Linked DNA regions of Daphnia pulex. The protein of the gene in region 1 purifies or fractionates together with the protein of each later gene. This does not show direct contact. Links are inferred from orthologs where the notes say so. Each region holds a gene or a part of one and is shown in the gene's direction. Other genes may lie near its edges.

Evidence for each region.
Region 2: the proteins of serine/threonine-protein kinase B-raf-like (region 1) and regulatory-associated protein of mTOR-like purify together in Homo sapiens (affinity purification with mass spectrometry; 3 studies listed by BioGRID and IntAct, with this or other methods). This does not show direct contact. The link is inferred for Daphnia pulex from reciprocal best matches to the Homo sapiens genes BRAF and RPTOR.

What each region holds. Positions count from the first base shown.
Region 1 is NC_060021.1:7,350,955-7,354,708, forward strand, and holds the start of serine/threonine-protein kinase B-raf-like, read left to right. Parts: upstream 1-957; 5' UTR 958-970; coding exon 971-1,114; intron 1,115-1,531; coding exon 1,532-1,633; intron 1,634-1,848; coding exon 1,849-2,283; intron 2,284-2,347; coding exon 2,348-2,452; intron 2,453-2,522; coding exon 2,523-2,689; intron 2,690-3,021; coding exon 3,022-3,257; intron 3,258-3,617; coding exon 3,618-3,754. UniProt on the Homo sapiens protein: Protein kinase involved in the transduction of mitogenic signals from the cell membrane to the nucleus. Phosphorylates MAP2K1, and thereby activates the MAP kinase signal transduction pathway. Phosphorylates PFKFB2.
Region 2 is NC_060017.1:2,269,714-2,273,467, forward strand, and holds the end of regulatory-associated protein of mTOR-like, read left to right. Parts: coding exon 1-116; intron 117-179; coding exon 180-483; intron 484-548; coding exon 549-685; intron 686-747; coding exon 748-842; intron 843-905; coding exon 906-987; intron 988-1,062; coding exon 1,063-1,227; intron 1,228-1,296; coding exon 1,297-1,403; intron 1,404-1,467; coding exon 1,468-1,584; intron 1,585-1,652; coding exon 1,653-2,080; intron 2,081-2,147; coding exon 2,148-2,313; intron 2,314-2,393; coding exon 2,394-2,519; intron 2,520-2,582; coding exon 2,583-2,787; 3' UTR 2,788-3,518; intron 3,519-3,588; 3' UTR 3,589-3,667; downstream 3,668-3,754. UniProt on the Homo sapiens protein: Component of the mechanistic target of rapamycin complex 1 (mTORC1), an evolutionarily conserved central nutrient sensor that stimulates anabolic reactions and macromolecule biosynthesis to promote cellular biomass generation and growth.

The sequences.
Region 1 (3,754 bases):
ACTTTACCCTCTTAGTCAATTAATTATGAATTATGATTTAAAAACAACATGCGGTGTGATAGCGCGTTAGTCCCAGTCGCTCAGAAAACATATTTTTTGGGGTTCTAGGTTTAGATAGAATACTCCTTTTTTTTCAGTTTTTTTCAACAATATTTCCAAATTTAAATTTCCTTGTTAGTTTTTTTGTTGGCTGGCTGGAACCTAGAACCAGTTTCGATTCCTTCTCCCAATTGTACTAGTCCAATTTGACGGGCACATGTTTTCGGCATATTAACAGTGCTACGTGAAACCCCGTCGTTATTTTTAATTATTTAGTAAAATCCCTTGTTGTTTTGCAAATGACGGATCTTTACTGACATTTGCTCGAAATCGTTCATGATAGAAATTACTCCACATTTTCTTTAATCAGGGTCAAAATTGCTGATGATTACGAGAAGGAAGCCGCAACCGGAAAACATTTTTGTTGTTAGATTTTAAAAAAAAAAAAAAACCCTTTCACTCAGCAGCACCCAATTGAGACATAATATTTCAATTACGTAATTATCTTTAGTCACAATTGTTATTCAACTCGAAAGCCAGAAACATCGTGCCATCGTTTCAATTTGTGGAACTTTTATGGCTGGCCGTTTTTCTTTCAAATTTACGCGGTATTTTACCATGTCAGTCACTTTTCTTTAAGGGCATTGCTTGATCCTGTACAACTTGTTCTTTACTTGATTAGTTTAGTGAAAAATAAATAGATATGCTGTATATCAATATTTTAGCCTTCAACTCCACTCGCAGTTATTTACATAATATACACGCAATCGGCAGTTCCCATTTCCGCATAAACAATAAACAAAAGATCACGTGATTATAATAAAAAAAGTGATTTGATGCGTTGCCGCTAGATGTCGTTTCAAGTTTGAAGCCATCTAGCGCGATCGCCAAGACTTTGGTGCCCAGCGAATGAAAGGGAAAAAAATAATAAATGGAAGAAGAAGGGGGAGAGAAAAAAAATCGGTCCAAGATGGCCGTGAACGAGACTCTTCTCGGCAGTACAATGACGAATTTCACCCTTCCCAGCCCTAAAAGACATCGCAAATATGAAGAAACAGGAACGATTCACGATGAGGTGACTATCTATTTACAGTGTTGTTTGGTTCGCTCGAAGAATGACATCCAGGAAAGAGATCTCTGAGAAATGTCATTTCGTTTCACTTTCCACCGGGATGTTTGGCTTTATTCTTTTTGACGCTATCGAAGCATTCCATCTGCAAAATTAATTCATATCGAAGAGGACCATTCCCGAAAACAAAGTGCTCCAAAAAAGAATCCCAATGGTTTGATCGCTTTAAGTGGAAAAGTTTCTTGGGAACACTGTCCCACTGAATTGTTTTGATTCAGTGACAGCCTCAAAACAGACATTCAATATCATATCAATTGAGGTCCATCATTGAGCATCAACTTCAAAATGCCTACTTATCTTTTCAATAGTGTTTTGCTTGATACAAGGCTTTCTAATTCATTGTTTCTTGTGTTTTCTTTGCAGCTGCGGAACATTCAAAGTGTCATTCGCCTCACCAAAGAAAATATTGATGCGCTCAATGCACAGTTTGCTGGATTCCAACACCCACCCTTGATGTACATAGCTGTAAGTGCAATTCAGTTTTCTTTAGTTCCACCCCTCAATTTCCCTTCTGAAAGCTCATTTATCATCAAAAGTCGAATAAAACTACATTTGCAGATTTTCCATAGCGCAGCCAGTTTTTCCACTAAAACATAGCTGTCTTTGAACAAATCTATAATCTCTATGTCCTACTCATTTCATTATGACATCAGAATGACTTGGTTTTTGTTTTTCAATAGGAATACAATGAATTGACAAGCAAATTGCACGAATTCAAAGCCCGAGAGCAAGAACTCATCGAAAGAGTAAGCGCAGCTACGGCATCCAATGGACGACAAAGTCCTGGTGGTCACGAGTTGGAAGATTGTTCCGATGCTGAATTGCCACCACACCTCAAAACAGGATTTGGGCCAGATGGAGGTGGTCATCATCATGGACACCAGCAACAACAAATTCATCATCAACAACAAGCTCCCGGTCCGCCTTTAATTGCTATCCCTCCTCCTCCTCGATCACCTCTAAAGTCGGTAGTGCGAGCATACCTGCCCAACGAGCAACGGACGATCGTACAAGTCAAACCCGGCCAAACTGTGCGTGAAGCCCTTTCAAAAGCTATGAAGCTGCGCAAGCTGGACCCGTCCACGTGCGCGGTCTATCGATGCACACAGCCTGAGGTATTACAAAACAAGTTACACGCATAACAATAATGTCAATATTCCCCCATTTTTCTCCCCAAAGGTTAAAGTACAATGGGATGCCGATATAGCTTCAGTCGAAGGTGGAGAGATTCGTGTTAAACTTAAGGATAATTTCTCAGCCACAACCAGCATATCTCACAATTTCGTAAGTTTACAAAAAATCAGACGACATTGGTTTACATTTCAATCGTTAATTTAAAACTTGATTTGAAAAGGTGCGCAAAACATTCTTTTCTTTGGCTTACTGCGAATCCTGCCGACGCCTGCTCTTTCAAGGCTTCTATTGTCGGACGTGCGGATATCGTTTTCATCAGCGTTGCGCTGCAGCCGTCCCTCCCTTGTGCAATCCGGCTCACGTAGCCGAAAACACACTCCTACAGATGTGAGTAATCGTGTCGTAAAAGGAAATTGCGTTGGTACATCGTTGCGAGTCTGCTCTCATCCAATTTTCGCGTTCAAAAGCGTAGAGTGAAAATTTGATTGCATACCTAGAAGACCTTGGCCATAGTTTGAGATCAAAAGACTACGCTGAAGGTCTTCTAAGTACTTGGGAATTTTTTTTCTTGGAATTAAATTTAGGGGCGTTTTTTTGTCAGCAACAGAAACATTTTTGCTTTTACTTTTGTTAAATTATCAAGTTCCAGAAAGATTTAAAAAATGGCGAATTTCAAACATTCAATGACCTAATCCTGATTTGTATGGAATATTTGATAGGTTAATATCGTGTCCAGAGGGCCCCGTACCGTACCCGTACACAGCCGGCCTTACATACCCGCCGACATTCCAGCCGATGCAGATTCCTCGACGCCACCCTCCACCTCTAGCCCAAAGAGAACGATCAACATCGGCTCCTAACGTTTGTTACAATATGGTCGGCAATCAAGGCGGCATCGATACCGCGTTAGAGGATTGGTCCTATCGTATCAAAGCTCACAACCTTGCTGCAACAGGTACGCCAAATTTTCATTATTCTTTTGCAAGTGTTTTATTTATTTTTTAAATCGGCTTGTAAGATGAAGTGGCTGACTCCGTCTTAAAATCCCTAACATTGATTCACAATTTTTTGTTTTCGTTTTTATCAACCAAATTATTAAGTGCACGAAATTTTATTTTTTTTTTGCCTCGTTTACATTTGGTTTTCTTTTCTTTCCGTTTGCCTGTTGCAAATTTTCGTTAAATCCACACAAAAAAAAACCCGAAAACAAAACCCAAAACCATCGAATCCGCTGTGTGTGGGGAATCCTGCGTGTACACAAAACCACTGAAACCCGACCTTAAAATCCTCAAACAAAACAAACAAAAAACCACAGAAGCTGGCCTGATCAGTTTAACACGTTTGGTACAAAACGGCGGAGGCCGGAGCAACAGCAACAAAGGCTTGAATGGCATCCGGGAAGAGCAGCATGAGAATCAGCCCCCTGAGCCGCAACAGCAACAACAACAGGCG
Region 2 (3,754 bases), on another chromosome or scaffold:
TCCATAGTGGAGGAAAGACGGAACGAAATGAACTTGCCAACAAAATTGATCACGCAGTGGCCTTACAACTGGTGAATGTTGTGAACTCGGAAGCTAGTCCTTTGGTTCGCAAAGAGGTATAGTAGCTTCTTTTCGCTTTGGGAATTGAATATTCGTTAAATTTAATTTTCTTTCTAAAGATCGTTGGCGCTCTCCAGTGGATTGTTTTGATATTCGAGTCCACGTTCATTCAAATGGCTGTTCAACAGATAGAAGAGGAAAAGAATAAAGACTCGAACAGTCTCTCTCCAAACGTGGAAGTAACGTTAACTTCTTCTGGTAGTCTACAGAGGCCCACGCGTCGTTCGCGGGCCTCCACATCCAATGCGATGAACCTAGGCACAAGTCCGGAACTATCAGATAGTGGTTTCACCCATTCCACAAACTCCGGGCATCCAGATCATATTAGACGAGCGGTTTCTATTTCCTCTCTCAGTAGCCTTAGTAAGATTTTAATAGTAAGCCAAAAATTGATTAAAATAAAATATTTCTAAATTTTATTTTTGCAGCGAGTTCCACTTTGCCTAGTCTTGCTTTTAACACTATTTACGTCAAACTTTGGCACGGACTTTCAAGCATGGAAAAAGATCCTTACCTGGAAGTCTCTACGATGGCAAAGAAATTAACGGATTATGTGCGGAATAAGGTATTTCCTTTTTAAAAATTACGCAGTTGGTCAGCCACTTAAACATAACATGCATATTTCAGGCTAAAGAAGTGATAGCTTCACGGGAATCAGACGTTAGTCGTCAATATACGTATTCCAATTCGAGTAACGATTCTATGGATAAATCCCTCTACATGTAATGCTGTATACTATTACAATACCTCGTACAAATAACGAATATATTTGAGACTTGTTTCAGTGGGGACTCTCCTCCACGGGCCCTTGTCCAACGCACTACTCCCTCATTCAACAGAATCAGGAAACGAAGCATACCATCTACAGTAATAACATTTTGAACTGGCTTCCTCAACCGAATGTTTCTTACTACTACTCAATTATTATTTATTCGTTGCTAGATTGTGGAAGAAGGTGAAAGTTCCAAAGAGTTGAAGGATCCTTTAGTAGTAACCGGATTTGTCGAATGGTGCGCTCGTCATTTTGCTGAACCAGCTGCGTCTAATGAAGATTTTCAAATCAATATGAAACCCAATCACGAAAAAGAATTAACTATTGAATTCGAAGTACAACCTCAACATGGATTCTATGATTTTTTAGAATTATTATTGATATATTTTTTTGTTCTCAACTAGATATGCGGGAGAACACGTGAACGAGACACTGAAATGTACTACACGCGCGAATGGCGATATACAAGAAATGCTTCCGTTCGCCATGAAGCTAAAGAAGAATGTCAAAGGTGAACTCAATTTCAGGGTTTTTACCTGGTTTTTTAATTTAAAATTCTATGTTTATTTATTTAGACCAAATAAAGCAAAAATGAAAGAGGTTTTCTGCAATCGGAATCCACTGGTACCTTCAGTTATCCGCTTTCATCCCTACGATCCTTGGCTTGCTGTAGCAGATAAAGAAGGATGCACGTAAGAAACAATTCTTTTATGGTGATAAAAGTTTTTCTGTGCTCGACGAAAATTGTTCTATAATGCAGAGTATGGGACTGGGAAAGAAGCGTCCGTCTTGTCCATTTTAACAATCAACAACAACCCAGGGCTGCTCGAATTACATCAATGGATTTTGTGAACGGACATGATGATGCGTTACTTCTTATTGGTGCAGATGATGGGTCGTGCAGAATCTGGCGGGATTTTATTCGAACAGGATCTCGATCAGCAAATGCTGTTGTCGAAGATCACACTGGAGTTTCTCTTGTTTCAGCATGGAACTGTATAGCTGAAATGGCACCATCGACTCGATGTTCCGGTCTGGTTTTGGATTGGAATCAGGATTCTTTACAATTGCTAGCAACAGGCGATGTTCGCTTGATCCGCATTTGGGACGTAGAGCGTGAATTGAAAGTCAGCGACTTTCCTACTGGTTCAGAAAATTGTGTGACCTCCGTTCATCATAACCCGCGAGGTTTTGACCAAGTTTAAGAAATTTATATAATCGTTTGCGCAAATTAAATTGATAATTTTGTCTTCAGATCGATCGCTCTTTGTAGCGTCATGTGGAGACGGATCAGTCCGCCTTTTTGATCAGCGATGCAGCGCTGCAAAATCTAGAGTTATGACTTGGAGGGAGCATGCTGCTTGGGTCATAGATTGCGAATGGATTTCGGTTGAAGGAGGTGCCAACTTAGTGAGTGGCAGGTAACAATCATCTCATCGTATTAATCGTTACATTGTATGAAATTACGTTTGATAACTAATAGTTGTTTTTTTTTCTCAAGTCTGGCGGGTGACATCAAGTTCATGGATCCTAGAAATCCCAACTCGGTTCTCACCGTAGCCACAGCGCCTAATTCGCAAGGAATGACTGCCATGGCAGTCCATCCCAAGGCTAACTTATTTGCTTGGTAAAACAGCTTTTGTGTGGAAAAATGCTTATTTTCACTAACATGCATCGTTTTCATTATTAGTGGAATTGTCGGGCAGTACATTACCGTACACGACCAAGAAGGAGAAGTGCGTTCTACTATCGCGTATCACGACGGCGGTGGTCTTTTGGGCTCCAAAATTGCAGCTGTCTCCTGTTTAACCTTTCATCCACATCGGGTGTGCCTCGCTGCTGGAGGCATGGACTCGATGATTTCTGTTTTTTCTTCAGATAAGTCAAAGAAGTAGAATGGTTTGCTTTTGTTGACTCACCGTCAAGATTCGTCGTTTTCTTTTTTTCTGTTGGAGATTTTTCAATTCGAGCCGCGAGACCTCGCATATGTTAAATACCCAGTTACAAACAATCACTATTGTGAGCGAAAGATTCAAAATGAAGCATCCTCTATATTAATTCATGCACCGAATTAAATTAATTGTGTATCTTAAATGTATTTTTTTTTGTGTGTGAAGCTTCCTGCTGACTTCTTATCAGTTTATTCATTGGGTATGATTTTCATGTTATTATATCGAGCTATGCTCACGTTACACAAGATAAGTTTACATGCCCATGCTGTTTGGGTCGACGTTCTCAATCCATGTGAGTATTGGGTAATACAAAGTAATTGAATACCAAAAACTTTGTCGATGAATTTCCGTCGTCAGAATGTTTAGACGACATTGTTCGACTTAAGTAAAAAAGAAAATGTGATGCTTCGGCTTTGATCTTTCTACCCGTTTATCAGTTGTTGCGATAAGGTTATCGGAACGGAGCTTTTCCGTTGTACTGATCAGCTGGTGGCCAGATCAATCGTTTATGTGTTTGAACGCAGTGAAAACCAACGTCGCATTAGCCTTTGTTAACCTCGTATTGAAAACGGGATTAAGTTGTCAAACTCACCATGAGGATTCCCAGGTTTACTGAGAGCTGGTGTGGCTGTTCTCTTCAAACGGGGACTAAAATTATCAGCATCTTTTCTGTGGTACGTTTGGTACACCTTGTTACATGTAAAACTCTTTTGATGCTTATGATTATGTACATATTATCCTTAGGTAGTAAAGCTTCTTTTAGTGATTTTACTGAGTATCGCATGTGCCTCCTTCGATGCCCTATACAACGGTCCCCATGACGGTAGATTGTCTTGAAGAACTTGAAAAGACGTAAACTAATGTTCAATATTGAATTCTGCAGGAAAATACAGTGCAACTTTAGCGGTAC